3 linked regions of the Anolis sagrei genome follow. The protein of the gene in region 1 interacts with the protein of each later gene in a biochemical or structural test. Links are inferred from orthologs where the notes say so. Each region holds a gene or a part of one and is shown in the gene's direction. Other genes may lie near its edges.

Evidence for each region.
Region 2: the proteins of CUL4A (region 1) and RBX1 form a complex in vitro, tested with the Homo sapiens proteins (6 studies listed by BioGRID, with this or other methods). The link is inferred for Anolis sagrei from reciprocal best matches to the Homo sapiens genes CUL4A and RBX1.
Region 3: the proteins of CUL4A (region 1) and DDB2 form a complex in vitro, tested with the Homo sapiens proteins (2 studies listed by BioGRID, with this or other methods). The link is inferred for Anolis sagrei from reciprocal best matches to the Homo sapiens genes CUL4A and DDB2.

The regions. Positions count from the first base shown.
Region 1 is NC_090023.1:108,629,604-108,636,889, reverse strand, and holds the start of CUL4A (cullin-4A), read left to right. Parts: upstream 1-4,182; 5' UTR 4,183-4,366; coding exon 4,367-4,517; intron 4,518-7,286. UniProt on the Homo sapiens protein: Core component of multiple cullin-RING-based E3 ubiquitin-protein ligase complexes which mediate the ubiquitination of target proteins. As a scaffold protein may contribute to catalysis through positioning of the substrate and the ubiquitin-conjugating enzyme.
Region 2 is NC_090025.1:161,877,877-161,885,534, reverse strand, and holds the start of RBX1 (E3 ubiquitin-protein ligase RBX1), read left to right. Parts: upstream 1-4,613; 5' UTR 4,614-4,650; coding exon 4,651-4,728; intron 4,729-6,289; coding exon 6,290-6,368; intron 6,369-7,476; coding exon 7,477-7,547; intron 7,548-7,658. UniProt on the Homo sapiens protein: E3 ubiquitin ligase component of multiple cullin-RING-based E3 ubiquitin-protein ligase (CRLs) complexes which mediate the ubiquitination and subsequent proteasomal degradation of target proteins, including proteins involved in cell cycle progression, signal transduction, transcription and transcription-coupled nucleotide excision repair.
Region 3 is NC_090021.1:279,746,805-279,753,764, forward strand, and holds the start of DDB2 (DNA damage-binding protein 2), read left to right. Parts: upstream 1-3,915; 5' UTR 3,916-3,962; coding exon 3,963-4,049; intron 4,050-4,164; exon of another isoform or gene 4,165-4,267; intron 4,268-6,498; coding exon 6,499-6,685; intron 6,686-6,960.

The DNA.
Region 1 (7,286 bases):
TCCAATGCAATATAATAATAATAATAATAATAATAATAATAATAATAATTTATTATTATTATTATATGTAATTTTACTAATAATATTACAATATAATGGTATAGTACAATATAGTAATATTTAATATTGATCTTGTGTTGTTCATTTGTTCAGTCGTTTCCGACTCTTCGTGACCTCCTGGACTAGACCACGCCAGAGCTCCCTGTCGGCCGTCACCACCCCCAGCTCCTTCAGAGTCAAGCCAGTCACTTCAAGGATACCATCCATCCATCTTGCCCTTGGTCAGCCCCTCTTCCTTTTTCCTTCCATCTTCCCCAGCATAATTGTCTTCTCTAAGCTTTCCTTTCTTCTTGTGATGTGGCCAAAATACTTAATCTTGACCTCTACTATCCTTCCCTCCAATGAGCAGTCGGGCATTATTTCCTGAAGTATTTCCTGAAGTACTATGCTAATAATATATTGCTGAAACATTCACACCTAGTTTCAGCAGAGAGCTCTTTGCCCCACCCCAGTCATTCCACAGATATATAAACCCATTTTCCTATTTCCAACAGACCTCACTACCTCTGAGGATGCTTGCCATAGATGCAGGCGAAACGTCAGGAGAAATGGCCCTATAGCCCGAAAAAACCTACAAGAACCTAGTGATTCCAGCCATGAAAGCCTTCAACAATACATATGTATTTATATTTTGTAAGCCACTCTTGAGTCCCCCTTGGGGTGAGAAGGGCGGCATATAAATGTCGTAAATAAATAAATAAGTATTGGGTGAGATCTAGGATGCATCTGCAATGTAGATTTAAAGACAGTTCGGCACCACTTTAATTGCTAATGCACAATGCTACGGAATTATGGGAGTTGTAGTTTTGCTCAGAGGTGGCTTTGCCAATTCCTTCCTCTGAAATATAGCCCACAGCACCTAGGATTTGTTGGCACTCTCCTGTCGAAGTACTAACCAGGGCTGAATTTGCTTAGCTTCCAAGTTCTGATGGGAATCTGGTGCCTTTTGTGAATAACAGATGGGTTTAATGTATTGTCAAAGGCTTTCATGGACTGAATCACTGGGTTGTTGCAGGTTTTTTGGGCTGTATGGCCATGTTCTAGAAGCATTCTCTCCTGACGTTTCACCTGCATCCTCAAAGGTTGTGAGGATCTCACAACCTCTGAGGATGCCTACCACAGATGCAGGCAAAACATCAGGAGAGAATGCTTCTAGAACATGGCTTTATTGCCAAAAAAACTACAACCACCCAGCTGGATTTATGCCAAAATCTTATGAAAAACCTGTTGACTCAAAATTGCCTGTTTACCTTAAACAGGATCAGCCTGGAAACTGCCTCATTGTAATTTTCTTGCTTTTATTCAAGGACCTTTAGCAAAGCCCCTCCCCAAAATAATCCCAAGCACATTGAATTTCAATAACAGCAACTTATTTGAAGCTGCAAGGCCATTCAGTAATAATCAAGCTGGCCAATTGCAACATGCACACTTGCCTAAAGCAGGCAAGAGTTCTTTATCCCAACCTGGCCATTCCACAGATACATAAACCCCACTTGCCTAGTTTCCAACAGACCTCACAACCTCTGAGCTTGCCTGTCATTGATGTGGGCAAAATGCCAGGGAAGAATGCTTCTGGAACATGGCCATACAGCCCAGGAAAGCTCACAGCAACCCATTTTGACACAACTTATTTCTAACCCATATCTCATTAAGGCTCAAAGTAGAGTACAACATAGAATTAAAATACAACATATAACTAAAAACACATAAAACCAGTTAAAGCACATAAGTTTAAAGCAAACATAAAACTAATAGAAAGCATAACACATTCAAATAATCAATTGATGCCAATTTAGAGAGTAAAATCTACTGGGTATACCTTTGTTTATATTTTTGTTGGGTTTGTTTTTTTTTTGCTTTGACCTTTAAACCAAAAGCAATAAATGTGACACGCTCTAGAATCATATTTGCTCAACAGGTTTGTTCCCAAGGCCATGTGCCTCCCAGGGCATCTCCATTTGAGGAGCATTATAAGCTTTCCAGGGGATTTAAAGAACAAATTCCAGCAGATCCAATGACAGGCAGCTGTGGTTTTTGGGTTTCTAACTAACAGATCTATTGCGGCAACATATGTTTTCTGGGCTTGAACCCATTTATCTTCAAAACTGGTTGAGGGTATCCCTTTATTGACTCCTGTTCGATATCCCCTTCCACATGGGTGGCTGAGATCAAGGCAAGCTTGCTTTCTGGGGGCCCTTCCACATAGCCCTATATCCTAGAATATCAAGGCACAAAATCTCACATTATCTGAGTGTGGACTCAGACAACTCAGGGCCCTTCCATACAGCCCTACATCCCAGAATCTCAAGGCAGGAAATCCCACAATATCTGCTTTGAACTGGGTTTTCTGAGTCCACACTCAGATATTGTGGGATTTTCTGCCTTGATATTCTGGGATATATGGCTGTGTGGAAGGGCCCTCAGAATGTCAAGGCTGAAAATCCCACATTTTCTTACTTGAACTGGGTTATCTGAGTTCACATTGCCATACATTCCAGTTCAAAGCAGATAATGTGGGATTTTCTTCCTTGATATTCTGGGATATAGGGCTGTGTCAAAGGGCCCCCAGTACAAAGCAGATAATGTGGGATTTCCTGCCTTGATATTCCACACAGCTCTGTATCTCAGAATATCAAGGCAGAAAATCCCACAATATCTGCTTTGAAGTGGGTTATCTGAGTCCACACTCAGATAAAATGGGATATCCTCCTTTGCATGAGGGAGAGGGCCTTCTCGATGGCGGCCCCCCAACTCTGGAACTCACTTCCCAAGGACATCAGACATGTCCCAACTCTGGCAGACTTTAGGAGGAGCCTGAAAACGTGGTTGTTCCAGTGTGCCTTCCCATAATATGGAAAATCCTCAGCAATCTGCCCTCAAAATGCACTTTACCATTGATTTAGGACTGACTGCGTTCCTTCATCTCTCCTTGAAAATTCTACCCAGTTATATCCCACCTTGTCCATGTCCAGCATTATTTTTAATTTTAATCTATTACATTTGGCCTGGCCATTGGTTTTAAATACTTGTGTGTTACTGTTGATTTATTTTTTTTGTTATGTGTTTTATATTAATTGTATTGCTTTTGTTTGTTATTGCTTTTGTTTATTGATGTACTGTGGGCTTGGCCTCATGTAAGCCGCACCGAGTCCCTTGGGGAGATGGTAGCAGGGTATAAATAAAGTTTTATTATTACTGTCTAAGGCTTTCATGGCCGGAATCACTGGATTGTTGTAGGTTTTTTCGGCCTATATGGCCATGTTCTAAAGGCATTCTCTCCTGACGTTTCGCCTGCATCTATGGCAAGCATCCTCAGAGGTAGTGAGGTCTGTTGGAACTAGGAAAAAGGGTTTATATATCTGTGGAATGACCAGGGTGGGACAAAGTACTCTTGTCTGCTGGAGCTAGGTGTGAATGTTTCAACTGACTACCTTGATTAGCATATAATGGCCTGACAGTGCCTGGAGCAAACTTTTGTTGAGAGGTAATTAGATGCCCTTGTTTGTTTCCTCTCTGTTCTTGTGCTGTTGTAATTTTAGAGTTTTTTTAATACTGGTAGCCAGATTTTGTTCATTTTCATTTTATTTTTATTATTATTATTATTATTATTATTATTATTATTATTATATTTCCTGCCCTGATATTCTGGGGGTCCTTCCACACAGCCCTGTATCTCAGAATATCAAGGCAGAAAATCCCACAATATCTGCTTTGAACCGGGTTATCTGAGTCCACACTCAGATAAGTTGGGATTTCCTGCCCTGATATTCTGGGGTCCCTTCCACACAGCCCTATATTTCAGAATAACTAAATAGAAAATCCCACATTATCTGAGTGTGGACTCAGATAACCCAGTTCAAAGCAGATATTGTGGGATTTTCTGCCATGATATTCTGGGATATAGAGCTGTGTGGAAGGGGGCTGAGTCCACACTGCCATATATTCCAGTTCAAAGCAGATATTGTGGGGTTTTATTCTTTAGCCTCCTCTGCCGAAGACAGCAAGCGGCGGCGGCGACTCCCAGGATTCAGTAGATTCCAAGCGGTGCCAAGGCGCGTCAGTCCCACCGTGTAGGAGGCGCCCGCTCTGTCCCGCCGTGATCCCTCCTTCCAGCGAAGGAGGAGGGGGAGGAGCCATTTTGTGAGGCGCCGCGAAGGACGGCCTCTCTCTCTCCCTCCTCCCCGCGAAGGCCTGCCTGCCCGCCTGCTTCCCTTCCTTCTCCGGCCCTGAGGAGATGCGCCTGGTTGCTTCCCGGAGGCCCAGGGCCGGACGGGAGGGAGGACCCCAGGGCCACTGAGCCCCGAAAATGGCCGGCGAGCCCCAGAGGAAGCAGCAGCAGCAGCGGCACTTGTCGGCCTTGGTGGGGCACACCAACGGGCTCACCAAGGCCGCCTCCCTGGCCGGGGGCCGCAGCGGCGCCGCCACCTCCAAGAAGCTGGTCATCAAAAACTTCCGAGGTGGGTGTGGGCCCCGGGCTGCCCTACTGCTGAGCTCAGCCTCGGCATTCCTCCGCTCGCCGTCCTCCGGCCCTTCTCCCCTCAGGAAGGGCAAGGCCTCCAAAAGCTGTGGAGAACTCTTGACACCTCTTTTTGGGGGAGGGGGCGAAATGGGGCCTTCTGCACCATTCTCAACACGACAGGTGGAGCCTGGCCACAGAGTAGGCAGGACTTTGGAGTACAAGGTGTCCTGAAAGTCTCTGTTTGAGGAAGACTGAACAAAGTCCTCTTATACCCATAGATCAGGTGTGGTAACTTTGGGGACACCTTTTAGACCAGGCAAAACTTGGGCCCTCCAGGTGTTTTGGACTTCAACCCCCACAATTTCTAACAGCCAACCTGCTGTTAGGAATTATGGGAGTTGAAGTCCAAAACACCTGAAGGACCCCCAAGTTGGGCCATGCCTGTTTTAGACAGTAGTCTCATAAATGGCAAGTCTATATAAATAAAAATGTAATGTTCGTTTGTGGGATTAACATAACTCCAAAACCGTTGGACGAATTGCCACCAAATTTGGCTACAAGACACCTACTAACCCAAGGAGTGACAACCACTAAAAAAATTGATTTTGTCATTTGGGAGTTGTAGTTGATGGAATTTATAGTTCACCTACAATCAAAGAGCATTCCGAACACCACCAACGATGGAATTGAACCAAACGTGGAACACAGGACTCCCATGACCAACAGAAAACACTAGAAGGCTTTGGTGGGCATTGACCTTGAGTTTGGGAGTTGTAGTTCTTCTACATCCAGAGAGCACTGTGGACTCAAACAATGATGGACCTGGACCAGGCCCGTAGCCAGGATTTCGTTTCGGGGGGGGGGGGGCTGATTTTTTTTCAGGGGGGTTTCGGGGGGGGGGCTGAGTCTGAGTGAAAGAGGGTCTAGCCTAGCAAACCATTACCCCAATACCCCCATGCATATGGGATATATTGAGTATGGTGATCAGATCATGATATGAATAAACATAACAGTTTAAATAATGCACCAGTAAGGCCTTTTCGCGAACCACCATGAGAATTTCGTGGGGGGGGGGGGGGGCTGAAGCCCCTCAAGCCCCCCCCCCCCCCCCCGGCTACATGCCTGATATGGACCAAACTTGGCACAGATATTCCATATGTCCAAATATGAACACAGATGGAGTTTGGGGGAAATAGACCTTGACATTTGGGAATTGTAGTTACTGGGATTTATAGTTCACCTACAATCAAAGAGTGTTCTGAACCCCACTAATGACAGAATTGGGCCAAACTTCCCACACAGAACCCCCATGACCAACAGAAAATACTTAAGGCCATCCATTCCAACTCCCTTCACCAGGGCAAGGAAACATAATCAAAGCCCTCCTGACAAAGAGCCATCCAGCCATAGATATTAATAGATAGATATGATTCACAGACACAGAGATATAATATCATAGATTTGAAAGGACAATGATATGTTGCATGTTGAGTAGGCAAACCAGACAATCTCCACATCAACACTGACGAAGAAACAGCAAGAAATACTATTTACCCACAAGCATCAAGAAATTATATATATTAGAAACCAACACTTTCTCGTTACTTTATTTTCCAGATCACCAGACTGGGCCACAGCAACGCATAGCAGGGGACGGCTAGTATTCAATACAAACAAATAAATACATGCATACATACATAATCTATATATATAAATCTGTTAGGTTGGTTCAACGGGACAGCAAAACTCAAAAAAACCCCAACGAAACTTAACCAAAATTCCCATGCCCATAACACAACCCACAAGGTACAAACATATCTACTCAAAATGAAAAACAACACAACAACACACTCACAAAACGGCAAAACAACAAAACTAAAAAAACCCAATGAAACTTAACCAAAATTCCCATGCCCATAACACAACCCACAAGGTACAAACATATCTACTCAAAATGAAAAACAACACACTCACAAAACGGCAAAACAACAAAACTCCACAACCCCCCAGCGGAACTTAACCAAAATTCCCATGCCGATAACACAACCCACAAGGTACAAACATATCTACTCAAAATGAAAAACAACACAACAACACACTCACAAAACGGCAAAACAACAAAACTAAAAAAACCCAACAAAACTTAACCAAAATTCCCATGCCCATAACACAACCAACAAGGTACAAACATATCTACTCAAAATGAAAAACAACACAACAACACACTCACAATATGGCAAAACAACTGAGCATGCGCATTGGCGCCCAGCCGCAAGTTCCTTGGGCATGCACACAGCCTTCCGGCCAACGTTCCCTCTGCAGAAGCCATGCCCACTCCAAGCACCGGCGCGCCGCTTCCCGCACACACACATCCCCTGCCGCATGCACACACACAACCACACGCTCCATCACTCCCCCCGCCGCCGCACACACACACGCAACCCCACGCTCCATCACTGCCCCGGGAGCCGCACACACACACGCAACCCCACGCTCCATCACTCCCCCGGCAGCCGCACACACACACACAACCCCACGCTCCATCACTCCCCCGGCAGCCGCACACACACACACGCAACCCCCCCCCGCTGCCGCACACACACACGCAACCCCACGCTCCATCACTCCCCCCGCCTCCGCACACACACACGCAACCCCACTCCCCCAGCCGCCGCACACGCACACGCAACCCCACGCTCCATCACTCCCCCCGCCGCCGCACACACACACACGACCCCACGCTCCATCACTCCCCCCGCAGCCGCAC
Region 2 (7,658 bases), on another chromosome or scaffold:
ACTTACAATATCTAGGCATGGTAGACATTTACATTGGTTAATGATATGGAAGGGCCTCTTTGGTCTTCTATGTTTCCTTACTCTCTATTTTCCAAATCCCAATTTATAGTGATTTATTTAAAATGTTTTTATCCTACCTTTCAATGAAAGTTTCTACAAGGTAGTTACATATAACCTAGGTAAAAGAGAGAAATCAATTCCGAAATTGCTGTCTGATGCTGTAACATCACATCTTGCTGTTAGAGGCCAGAAGAACCATATCAGATGCAGCAAGTTACTATCCAATACATTTTTAGTCAGAAATCTCACTTGATTTTAATAGGACTAATTCACAAGTAAATGCATAGATTTGCAGCCTAATCTGTACATATATTTATGAACTGTTCCACATTTGGAAGGCAACTTAAGAAGAAAGTGCATGAAGAAATTGAAAAGCAACATGAAGAAAAAAATGTTAAATCAAAATCACTGTTAAAGGCTTATGATGACTGATTTAAAATCTAATTAAGATTTCTGTGTTCCTACCATTAGACCAGAATGCCTATATGTTAAAACTTGCATAATATTTTTAAACATTTTATTTCAAAAGGTTTTTACTGTACAATTTTAAAATAGACTACTGACATTTCTTGCTTTTGAAATGGATCTTCCACAGAAATCTTAATAAGGAAGAATCATATTATGCATTCAGTCTTTGGGATAAGATGCTGAGAAAGCATGGATGAAGTCAACCATGAAGGCCCATATTGAGAGAGAGAAAAATCCATTGAGTTCAATGGAGGCTTAATTTTCAAGTAAGCGTGTGTAGCATTAATACCTCTGGTTAGTAGGTCAAGTCTGTAAAATAAACATAACTCCTTTTTATTTTCCAGTGCTAACATAGTACAGTAAGTGTGTTACTGTGCCTACCGATAACTGATGTTAGGAAACTTTGGCTTAAAGGGCAGTTTTTAAAAGCAAGTACAGGCAGTCCCAGAGTTACAAATGACTCATAGTTAAGAACAGGAGTGAGACAACAGGAAGTGAGAAATCTATCCCTCAGAAGGCAAATTCACTCCTAAAAAACTTATGGAAAAAGGTGTCTTCACTGAAGCTTTCCCACCAATCCTTGCTTCCACAAGAAGCCAAATTTTTCAAAATGAGTCTTGACACATTTTGATGCACACTTTGAGTCAACTTGTTTGACTGGATTTTGCATCCATAACACTGAAATTAATTTCATCGAACTCAGCAGAACAAAAACTGCAGGATTTCAATTTACAAGCCAATTTACAAGCCATACATACCTTTCATTTCAATTTTGTTAGACCCCAAAAATAGCATTTTCTTAAATGTCATGCGCACTCTGACTGGCGACCCTTCAGGTAAGGGAGTCTGGATCAGCAACTATTGCAGTTAGAGACCTCAAATTTTGGGAAAGTTTTAACCCCTCACTGGTGCTATGGCTAAAATTTGAATAAAATTTGAGACATGATGGTGGGAAGGTTTAGACCACTTGGCATGGAATGACCCTTTGGTGACACACACCAACACTATTTGGCAGGGAATGTTATAAAGATCTTGTTTAACCATAGCTCCGATGACATTATAGCATTGAACCATGGCATAGCATTGAAGGCATTAATTCTACCTTGAAGACATGACCTGAGATGCCCTTTTTGTACAGAGGCACTATATATCTTCTGGCTTTGTTACTGTTTTGTTGGCTAATGGCATTGCTAACAATGACCAATCTCAATAAAATAGTGAAGAGTGGAGACAGCACACTGGCAATGAAGACCCGCATACTAAAAGCAATGGTATTCCCCAGTCACCTATGGGTGTGAGAACTGGACCTTAGGGAAGGCTGAGCGATGGAAGATAGATACTTTTGAACTGTGGTGTTGGAGGAAAGTTCTGAGAGTGCCTTGGACTGCGAGAAGATCCAACCAGTCTATCCTCCAGGAAATAAAGCCCGACTGCTCATTGGAGGGAAGGATAGTAGTGGCAAAGATGAAGTACTTTGGCCACATCATGAGAAGGAAAGCTTAGAGAAGACAATGATGCTATGGAAAACGGAAGGAAAAAGGAAGAGGAGCCGACCAAGGGCAAGATGGATGGATGGTATCCTTGAAGTGACTGACTTGACCTTGAAGGAGTTGGGGGTGGTGACGGCCGACAGGGAGCTCTGGCGTGGGCTGGTCCATGAGGTCACGAAGAGTCGGAAGCGACTGAATGAATGAACAACAACAATGGCATTGCTGACTTCTTCCAAACTAGTTGGCAGTGCGAGCTCATCCCTGGTTTGTTGTTACAGGATTTGTGAGAGAACCTCTTCGTCCACATTGGAGCTGTGATTCAGGAGGCTTTGGTAGTGTTCTTTCCAACGTAGTGCAATTGATTTTTTGTCCTTCAGAAGTTTGGTTCCCTCTGATGAGCATAGAGCAATGTTTCTCAACCCTCCTAATGCCATGACCCCTTAATACAGTTCCTCATGTTGTGGTGACCCCCAACCATAAAATTATTTTCATTGCTACTTCATAACTGTAATTTTGCTACTGTTATGGATCAAAATGGAAATATCTGATATACAGGATGTATTTTCCCATGATCAACAGAAAATACTGGAAGGGTTTGGTGGGCATTGACCTTGAGTTTGGGAGTTGTAGTTCACTTACATCCAGAGAGCACTGTGGACTCAAACAACGATGGATCTGGACCAAACTTGACACGAATACTCAATATGCCCAAATGTGAACACTGATGGAATTTGGGGAAAATAGACCTTGACATTTGGGAGTTGTAGTTGCTCGGATTTATAGTTCACCTACAATCAAAGAACAGTCTGTGTCCCACCAATGATAGAATTGGGGCAAACTTCCCATACAGAACCCCCATGACCAACAGACAATATTGAGTTTTCTGATAGTCTTTGGCGACCGCTCTGAAACCCCCTCACAACCCCCCCCCCCCCAGGGGTCTCGACCCCCAGGTTGAGAAACACTGGCGTAGAGTATGGCATAGACACCAAGAACTGGCCCTTGAGCAAGAAGATCCAACCAGTCCATCCTCCAGGAAATAAAGCCCGACTGCTCATTGGAGGGAAGGATAGTAGTGGCAAAGATGAAGTACTTTGGCAACATCATGAGAAGGAAAGCTTAGAAAGACAATGATGCTGGGGAAAATGGAAGGAAAAAGGAAGAGGAGCCGACCAAGGGCAAGATGGATATATTCTAACTGGAGGTCAGCTGTAACCAACAGTGCTGCAGAATTCGAAGAGGCACGAACGGAGGGAGAAACGTGCCAAGAAAAAGGCGCGTCGAGCCAACCCTGACCAGGACTGCTTTCCACCTGGAAAAGATTATGTCCTTAGTGTGGGAGAAGATGATCAAGAATAGGGCTCCACCACCAAGACATGACATCTGGACGACCATCATCCTTGAGCTACGAGGGATCGCCTAACATTATATATCCCAGGCATGGGCCAACTTGAGCCCTCCAGGTGTTTTGGACTTCAACTCCCATCATTCCTAACAGCCTCAGGCCCCTTCCTTTCCCCCCTCAGCCGCTTAAGCGGCTGAGGGGGGAAAGGAAGGGGCCTGAGGCTGTTAGGAATGATGGGAGTTGAAGTCCAAAACACCTGGAGGGCCCAAGTTGGCCCATGCCTGATGAATCCCAATCCAAGGCCTTCCCAAGGCCTAGGGATCTGTGTATGTCTTTGACGCCTCAATGCCAGTTCCAAGGCATGGAGACTCTTCCTTTGGACAGAATTGGTTTGAGGGGATGTCCTGGCCTCACTAAGCGCTGCAGATGCGCCTTTCCTGAGGAAATAAAATTAATATTAAGACAAAGCTCTGGATATTGGGGGGGGGGGGGGGGAAGAGAGAAGGAGGCGCTCCACACAAAAGCCCAGTAATGGATTCTGGAGCGACGATGGTTTAGCAAGGATTAGTCATCCTAATTAAGGAAGATGGGAGGGAAGAAGGGAAAGCAGGCTGGAGACGAATCCCAGGAAGAGCCACAGCTCACGCATTTAGGTTGCCTTCAAGTAAAGCTATTTGGTGTTGAAGGGTGTGTTTACATACATATTAAGAGGGGGAGGGCACACTGATTCTGACTAAATCATTATGACATGTATTCCTCTCGACACAAATGGATTTTGTGTAGCCCTCAAGGTTTATTCCTATGGATATATTCTATGACACAGTGTTTTCAAGTGTTTCCCCAGCATTTCATACAAGAGTAATTGGTGCGTATCCCTTTAAATAACCTTCCTCAGAGCTCCGCCCCTTTCCCCCCCCCCTCCCTCCCTCCCTCCCGTCCTTTCACTGGAGCGCAGTAAAAAGACGACGACGACAACGACGACGCCGCACGGCCCTGCAGAAAGGCCTCCGCCCTGAGCAGCGCCTTTAAGAGGAAAGGGCGGCACGTGACCAAGCCCCGCCCCCTTTGGGTCCCCCACCCTACCCTCGCGCGCGCTCCCTCCCTCCCTCGCTCGCGCACACCTGTTTGTAAGGAGGGGCGGGGGTGAGGCATCCATATATATAAATAAATAAATAAACAAACTTCTCAGGAAGTATCGCGAGATTTTGTTCTTTTTTTCTTTTCCTTTTTTTTTACCGAGCGTGCGCATGCGCAGTTCTGGAAAGTCTGCCGGGAGTTGTATCCAAAATGGCTGCCGCGATGGATGTTGACACACCAAGCGGGACCAACAGCAACGCCGGCAAAAAGCGTTTCGAAGTGAAGAAGGTGAGAGGAAAAAGGCGAGGCCTTGGGGTTGAGAAGGTGGCGGACGTAGCGGGGCCTGGGGAAGGGTTATTTTTCCCCCGGAAACCATCTTTCATGTTGAATGTGAGGTGAAAGCGAAAAGTGATGGGGAGGCTTAGTGGGCCGCGTTCCTTTGGTCCAGACCTCGCCTAGAACCCGAACAGGAAGCTTCTTTGGAAGCTTTTAAACAGAGGCTGGATGGCCATCTGTCAGGGGTGATTTAAATGCAATATTCCTGCTTCTTTAGGTGGTTGGACTGGATGACCCACGAGGTCTCTTCCAACTCTTTGATTCTATGAAAGTGCTTTCCATTGGCGCCCTCGTTTCCCAAGGTTTGTTTACAGTTGAGATACATGTTTGAGCGGGAGCCTTTGTGCTCCTCTGGTTTTCAAAGGTGGGATGCACCGCAATGTGGCGGGAAATCACAGATTTCTCTAGTATAGTATTTCCCAGACTATGGGAAAATATCCATATTTGACAGAAAATGTGGATATTTCATCACAAGTCAGAAATATTCTTCTTTATCAGCAGAATAATAAAACTTGAGAATCAGAAATGCAACAACTTTTTTGGGATAAGATAATTTTAAAAATAGGGAAGCTTTTCAAAATAACAATTCAAGTTAATATGGAATTTATGTTCATGGCAATTACCGGGAATAAAAACATTGGGTTGTTGTAGGTTTTTTCAGGCTTATATGGCCATGTTCTAGAGCAGTGGTTCTCAACCTGGGGTCCCCAGATGTTTTTGGCCTACAACTCCCAGAAATCCCAGCCAGTTTAGCAGCTGTTAGGATTTCTGGGAGTTGAAGGCCAAAAACATCTGGGGACTCCAGGTTGAGAACCACTGTTCTAGAGGCATTCTCTCCTGACGTTTCACCTTTATCTATGGCAAGCATCCTCTGATGCTTTAATTTAAAAACATTTTGCCAGTTGCAAATCATAATCCAGTTCCATTCATTGTGGTCACGTAAAACGTTATCTTCCCAGTTGCTCCAGCCATTGTTCAAATGCTTGATCCCACAGCAGGTTTTGAGTTTTCTATGGAAGGTAAGGAGGGAGAGGGCAAACCTAACTTCATTGGGGAGGAAGTTCCACAGCTGAGAAGACACCACAGAGAAGGCCAGTCTCTCATCTTCACCTGTCATGCCTGCGAAGGTGGTGGGACTGAGAACAGAGCCTCCCTGGATGATCTTAACGTCCTTGGTGGTTTGTAAGGGGAGATAGGTTCAGACAGGTAAGAAGACAACACACATTAAAAAAAATTAGTTAAACTGGCTTGTTTACAGTACAACTTCTACATCAATAAGAATGCTATTTGGAAATTTATCCACATTTGACAAATAATGTTCTCTTTGGGAATTCTCTAGGTCCTCTAGCATGGTTTTCTTGGGCCAAAAAAGTCCTTAATTTCAACAGGGTTTGTTATTATCCATGGTTTCACAAACTCATGTGAAGCCTCATTTTGTGTTTTGCTAGGCTCAACAGCGATGCAAAAAAAAGTAACAAAGAAAAATTGCATTAATTGTAATTTCATTCTTTAGTGGAATGCAGTTGCACTCTGGGCTTGGGACATCGTGGTTGATAACTGTGCCATTTGCAGAAACCACATTATGGATCTGTGTAAGTACCTCCAGAATATTTGTGCTGTATATATAGTTATTGTGGATATCAGAGGATGACAATAAAAAGGAGCAAGATGATGAAAACATAACTTCATAGCAGTCTCAACAATTCACGATTAATTGTAGAAGCCCCTGGTGGCGCAATGAGTTAAACCCTTGTGCCGACAGGACTGCTGATGGTTTGAACCCGGGGAGTGGGGTGAGCTCCTGTCTGTCAGCTCCAGTTTCCCATGCAGGGACATGAGAGAAGCCTCCCACAGGAAGGTAAAACATCCGGGCATCTCCTGGGCAACATCCAGTTCTCTCACACCAGAAGTGACTTGCAGTTTCTCTGACAACGAAAAGAAATGGTGAATTGTGTAGTTAAACTACACATATAAGATTAGAGGAGTAATTTAGTTACAGAGGAATAATTAGTGCATTAAGTTATGGCTATATTTGCAATATAAACTTAAATTAGTTTTCTGGCCTCCTATGAAGAACCTGAGGATTAGGAGGTCATACTTGCCATTCTTTCATGTAATATTGTGACTGCAATTGTAGTTGCTCAGTACAACTATATTGTTTGGGATAGTATCTACATGTCTACATTGCAGTTCTTGCAATATACAAAATTGCTTCTTCATCTGGGATCATTAATGTAAAAATTGTCATGCAGAATCAGATTAAAAGATCCATCCTGTGTGATAATGTGTTATTAAGACAGATTTCTAGATAACTTCGAAGGTACAGAGCATAATGAAACAGTTCTAGGCAATGGCCTGGTTTGACTGATTTGAGATTTCATAACTACCTTTGTTTATAGAGCAGGATTTAGTGCTAAGTACTCCTCCATCACCTCTTCCCACTGTACATCCATAGTTGGAATCTGTTACCTATCAGTTAATCAACTAGAAAAATAAACTAGGATTACATGTGAATGGTACATCCAGATTCCTCTCATCCAATGGGAAGTGGGTCTAATGATACTTTAATTCTGTTTTTCATCATGTGTCTGCCTCTTTTGTTATCTCGAAACATCTATATTTAACAGAAAATGTGGATATTTCATCACCAGTTATCGTTTCAGTAATAATCAATGTTTCTATTTAATCTTGTTCTTCCAGGCATAGAATGTCAAGCTAACCAAGCATCAGCTACCTCTGAAGAATGCACTGTTGCGTGGGGTGTCTGTAATGTAAGATGTCTACTTTTCAGTTCGTACAAACATCAAAATTTGTGGGAAAGAACCATAAATGGTTTTGTTATGAAGATCAAAGCTTGTGGGGAGGGGAACTTGAAAAGTTTT
Region 3 (6,960 bases), on another chromosome or scaffold:
GGACTATTTGAGGCTTCTGAACAGTATTCAAAGGCAAACCCATGCGGAGCATGTTGTAGTAGTCTATTTGAGATGTAATGAGAGTGTGGACCACCGTGGCCAAGTCTGGCTTCTCAAGGTATAACTTGTATAATAATTATGTGTGCACAAGAACTATAGAATCAAAGAATTTGAAGGCGCCTCATATGCCATCCAGTCCAATTCCTTGCTCAGTGCAGGCTCTCCAACTTTTTGAAGACATCCAGAGAAGAAACCTAGCCACCTATCTAGGCAATTAGTTTCAAAATCTACCCTCCTGTAACTTAAAACCACAGGGCTTTATAACTGGCTTCTCCAAGACTGAAATGATCTGCAGAAAGAGATTTGACAGCTAAATCAGCTGTCAGAATTCAAGATACAACTGTAGACCTATCTCTAACAACAGGCCTATCTAGTCAATTTTAACTATTAATTTTAAAATTTACATTCCATGACGATTATATTTTAATCTTTGCTCCATGTATTTAAATATGTGTATTTTATAGAGTTGTGTTTTAATATATGCATTTTGTTGAATATATTTTATGATGATGTGTTAGTGTTGTGCCTGTCTCAAACCATAGGAAGAGGCAGGTAACAAATTAAATATATTGTTGCCGTTATTATTTAAACTGGGGCTCATGTACACTAACCACTTAGTTTGGTTTGGAACTAATTTTGTTGTACGGACAATGAGACTGGCCATTCTAGAACAGGTTTGAGGCCAGGAAGGTGATTATATTAACCATAAAATGTGACCTTGAACTGGTTCCAGAATCTGCAGCATCTGCTGCTTGGCAGCATCCAGAGAATGCAGATTTCCCCACTATTTCCTTGCTGAGTTGTGCACCAGAACTCTGGAATCATACAGGGCAGGATGGGGGGAGGAGGAAAAGAGTTAGTAGTGGAGGTAATCAATTACTTGTCCCAGATTTTGAGCATCTGGAGATGCCTCAAGATTCAGAAGGCAGAAATTCTCAAGTGCTGAAATCCATAGCAAAACTTCTATGTAAGAAATTGGCAGAAAAGTCCCACCTGCACGAAGAAGCCAAGAATTAAACACAACCAGGATTTGAATTACAGGATGTAATTCTTTTCGAACTGCATCACCTCAACCTGTAAGGTATTTCATTGTTTGCCCATCTAAACCTCTTTCTTAAGGAACAAAGCCTTTCTTTCCTCTTGATATGCTTTTTCATTGGGGAGGTAGCCTTACATTAATCTATACTAACTTTGAACTTTCCATAAAAATAGTAGCTTTAGATGAACAAATACAGTCTGTTGACTGATATTGAGAAGTGATCGCCATGAACTGGTATCACAAATACATTATGTATATTGACTTATTGCTCTAATGGCATTTCCTTTTCTAGGAAAAGACATAGGGCATGGGGAATATTTTTAAAAAAATGAGAATACCATTACAACAATAGTCAATACACATGGCAGAATATTGACACGAATATGCTGTATATTTATGAGTTCACCACACTATTATATACAATAGGAGTTGAGTATCCATGGGTTTTGGTATCTATGAAGGAGCCATGGAACAAATACCAGCAGATACCAAGGACCTACTACATTTAGGCCCTATAGCAACAAAGTAGTGGATCCCATAGTTGATATAGTGTCACATTTGTTGCTATATATCCTAAATATAACACAATACGTCCTTGGTATCTGCTGTTTGTTCCATGATCCCATCATAGATACCAAAATCCACAGATGATCAACTCTTATTGTATACAACGGCATAGTTAAATTGTGTCTCCTATAGAAAATGGCAAAATAGAGTTGCTTTTTGAGTTTTAAAAATATTTATTTTCAATCTGTGCATAACTGAATCTGTAGGGAGCACACAACTCCCCTATTATGTCAGCTCCACTGGCTGCCAATCTGCTACCGAGCACAATTCAAAGTGCTGGCTTTAGCCTGTAAAGCCCTAAATGGTTCTGGCCCAGCTTACCTATCCGAACGCATCTCCCTCTATGAACCATCAAGGTGGTTAAGATCTTCTGGGGAGGCGCTGCTCTCGGTCCCACCTGCTTCACAAGTACGGTTGGTGTGGACGAGAGAACAGGGGCTTCTTAGTGGTGGCTCCTCAGCTCTGGAACTGTCTCCCCAGTGAGATTAGATCAGCACCCTTCCTCCCGTCCTTTAGAAAGAGAGCAAAGATATGGTTATGGAACCAAGCTTTTGACTAGTAAAATAACGCAGTACAAGAAGCAATATGGAATATGTGCAATCGACATCTGGAATGGCCGTCTACGTGCGTGGATCATGTGATTTAAATGTTTTATTAGGTGTTTTAATTCTTATATTTCATGTTTTAAATGTCCTTTTATCTTATGGTGAATTGTCCTATTGATGTTATGCTTAGTTATATGGTGTTGATTTGTGATTTGATTTATTTATGTATGGAATTTAATTTTGCCGTTATTTTTGTGTAAATTGCTTTGAGTCCCCCAGAGGTGAGAAAAGTGGTGCAGTGGAATCTCGCTTATCCAACCTTCAGTCATCCAACGTCCTGTATTATCCAATGCAGTCTGCCGCCCGCCTGGATCCACAACTGTTTCAATACATTGCAATGTTTTGGTGCTAAATTTATAAACACAGTAATTACTACATAACATTACTGTGTATTGAACTGCTTTTTTGTCAATTTGTTGTAAAACATGATGTTTGGTGCTTAAGTTGTTAAATCATAAGGTTTTTGATCGAATGCTTATGTTTTAATTATTACTTGTAACTGTGTGTTTTAATGTATTGGGGTTTTTTTTGGCATCTAATGCCCGCTGTAAACTATCCTGTGTCCCTCTGTGGAGGTGAAAAGGATGGGATAGAAATGCCCAACATAAATAAATAAAAAATAAATAATTTGACATTTAAAAGACATTTTCCTTAATCCCTCCTTATTATCCAGCATGCATTGTAATGTGGCTCAGTCTGTGTATATGTGCTTTGTGTGTGAATATATGTGCATATTTGTATATATGTGGTTTTGTGCATGCATATATACACGTATATATTTGTATATATGTATATATGTGTTCGTGCGTATATATATGTGTGTGTGTGCGGTTTTGTGCATGTGTTGTAATGTAATATTTTTTTGCTGTATTTTTCAGTGTTTTATGAGTGATGGTCACTCGTTGGCCTGATACGTGTATTGCATCCAAATTTGGTGTGAATTCGTCCAGTGGTTTTTGAGTTATGTTAATCCCACAAACGAACATTTCATTTTTATTTATATAGACTAGCCATTCCCTGACACGCATTGCTGTGGCCCAGTCTGTGTATATGTGCTTTGTGTGTGAATATGTGTGTATATATTTGTGTGTGTATATATGTGTGTGTGTGTGTATGGTTTTGTGAATAGTAAGCTAAATGGAGACAGCTAGTAAATAATAAATAGGTGCCAACTTTTTTACTATGGAGAGCCACCAGTACAGAGCCCACATACTTTAAAAGGCACCACATCCCATTTGATGTTGGAAACTAAGCGGATTCAGCCCTGGTTAGTCCTTGGAGGGGAGACAACCAACACACAATGGGTCCTGTGGGCTCTATTTCAGAGGAAGGGACTAGCAAAACCACCTCTGGAGTACTCCTTGCCTAAGAAAAGCTGATGAATGTTATGGGATCACCATAAGTTGGCCTAGAGCAGGCCTGGGCCAAGTTGGGCCCTCCTTCCAGGTGTTTTGGACTCCAACTCCCACCATTCCTAACAGCCTCAGGCCCCTTCCTTTTCCCCCTCAGCCGCTTAAGCGTGAGGGGCCTGAGGCTGTTAGGAATGGTGGGAGTTGGAGTCCAAAACACCTGGAAGGAGGGCCCAAGTTGGCCCAGGCCTGCTGTAGGCCTCGCCCGCCTCAAGACTTCCGCGCCCTGTGGCTCCTCCTCCTCCTCCTCTTCCGCCTCACAAACAAACAAAAAGTCTTGTTATGAAACTCCCAAGGAGGCGCTTCTTTCCCGCGCCTTTCAGGGAAACACAAGCGCCTGAGGAGGCGGCGAAGGAGGCCGCGGGTGAGGTGAGCAGACCTTTCATTTTACATGGCCTTCAGTAGGCCCCGCCCCGAGGAGGGAGGCCTCGCCTCCGGGCTTTCTTGAGGGGGCTCTCAGTGGGGAAAAGCCGTAGGAAAAGCCCTCCCTCTTTCCTTATTTGAAGTCTGAGGGGAGCCTTCAGGCGTGCATGTGAAGGCGAGAGAGACAGATCCCATTTCCCCACTATTTGGAAGTTATGTAAAAGGTAAAGGTAAAGGTTTTCCCCCCTGACCTTAAGTCCAGTCGTGCCCCTCTCTGGGGGTTGGTGCTCATCTCCATGTCTAAGCCGACACTTGTCCGTAGACACTTCCAAGTTCATGTGGCCAGCATGACAGCATGGAGCATCGTTGCCTTCCCTCCAAAGCAATAACATATTGATCCACTGGCATTTGCATGTTTTCGAACTTCTAGGTTGGCAGAAGCTGGGGCTAACAGCGGGAGCTCACCTCATTCTCTGGATTCGAACCTGCGACCTTTCGCTCATGCACTTTTGGTTATGTACTTACTTATGTACTCACTTTATTTTGTTTTTGTTCCCTTCAGGCTATCTCCAGGCATGGGCAAACTTGGGCCCTCCAGGTGTTTTGGACTTCAATTCCCACAATTCCTAACAGCTGGTAAGCTGGCTGGGATTTCTGGGTGTTGAAGTCCAAAACACCTGGAGGGCCAAGGTTGGAAAATACTAATCTACACAATTGAATTTATGTAGTTTTGTACCTATCAGCTGTTAGGAATTGTGGGAGTTGAAGTCCAAAACACCTAGAGGCCCAAGATTGGAAAATACTGATCTGCACAATTGAATTTATGCAGTTTTGTACCTATCGCTGTTAGGAATTGTGGGAGTTGAAGTCCAAAATACCTGGAGGGCCCAAGCTTGCCCATGCCTAGGCTATCATGACAGTCACAGTACGTTGTTGTTGGGAACAGACACTAGAGATCTTACCTCACCACACTTTGAAGATGATGTACTTCCAGTTTGGATATATTTGGGAAATCATAATAATCACACTGTTATAATTATTGCATGCTTTTTCTCTTTCAAAGAGACTTGAAAGCAGCAAACAGGGCTGAATGAAACCTAGACGATTTCAAACCTCAAGGCTATTATAAAAACTAGATTTAAACCTAAGATGATGTAAAAATAAACAGTTCAAACCAATAATGCCTATTTGAAAATACAAAAAAAAATCACACAACGCACACACACACTGGCTCTGTCTTAAAAGCTTTATTCTTTGACAGCCTCAAAGCCAGTGTTCTCTCAAAATTTATCATTCTGAGGGAAAATAAATTCTTAGCAAATTTATTTTTTATTTATCATATCAGAAACAAACCGAGGGTACAGTTGTAATATTTTCAAAAACACAAAGTGTTAAAAACTTGGCATTATACTAAATGTCCTTTGACCAGTAGCTGGCCACTTGGAGTGCCTCTGGTGTTGCTATAAGAAAGTCCTCCATTGTGCTCAGGTTGCATTGTAATAGGTAGCCTGGGGTTTGCTCTTCTCCACACTTGCATGTTGTGGACTCCACTTTGTGGCCCCATTTCTTAATGTTGGCTCTGCATCTCGTGCCAAAGTGCAGTTTGTTGAGCTCCTTCCAAGTTGCCCAGTCTTCTGTGTGCCCAAGGGGGAGTCTCTCATCCAGCATCAGCCATGGGTTGAGGTTCCAGGTTTTAGCCTGCCACTTTTGGACTCTCGCTTGCTGAGGTGTTCCTGCAAGTATCTCTGTAGATCTTAGAAAGCTATTTCTTAAGGCATTGGCGTGCTGATATCTGAACAGCATGGGCCGGAAATGTCACTGCCTTGGTCCTTTAATTCTTAACAAATAATGCCTACCTATACACACACACACATATCCAGATTCAGTATCCCATATCCAGAATTCCAAAATCTGAAATACTCCCAACATTAATTTATAATTTGGATTAAATCATTATAATCATATTTATTATTCAAAACAAGTGTATTTTTTGGACTTCATATAATAAATATAGCCATTACTCATATTAAAGGGACCTAGTTATCAGCTAAGGTTTGAGTCTCATATTTATTATTCAAAACAAGTGTATTTTCTTGGACTTCATATAATAAATATAGCCATTACTCATATTAAAGGGGCCTAGTTATCAGCTAAGGTTTGAGTCTAGATTGTTTGTATAGATTGTTTCTAGGGTCATTATATAAAGGATAATGTAACAGATACTGTATTACATCATCTCTTTCTCCTGACCCACAAATACAAAGTCGTTGGGCATGAGGGATCCCTCTACACCTTCTCTCTAGCCAGAAAAAAAATTGGACATAGGAAAGTGTTATATCTGTCACTATCCACTTTTAGTGTTACTTTTTAACATATGTATGTTACCTTATATCTTTAAATAAAATGTTGAATGTTCAGCGACAATGATGCTTCTTTGCTCCTTGGTCTCTTTCAGTGTTTGAACAGAATGGCCCCTGGAAAAGATTCAAAAGACAAGAAGCATCTCAGGACATGTGGAAGTACATCAGAAAAAGAGATGAAATCAAATAGGAAAAGAAAACGTGACTGTGAAGATCTAGAAAATGGGCCACAAACCAAAAAAATAAATGTGAGGAAAGCTCCCAAGAGTCTGGACAAAGCAGGTAATCTTGAATTGTCATTATTATTATTATTCCACTTTATCTCTCTAAAAAGACACTCAAAGTGGTTCTTATTATTTTCTCAAAATTCAATTGTATTCTGTTCTGTTTGTGTTGTTTAATTATGCAACCATTCAGATATGTAAAATTTCCAGAAATTGTGAAGCCACAGGAAAAAAGGGCTTTTCCCTTCAAAATGAAATTTTCAGGAAAAAAAGTATTAATCCCACTTGATAGAATGAAAGTTATTTAGTGACTTTAGGAACATAATATTCATT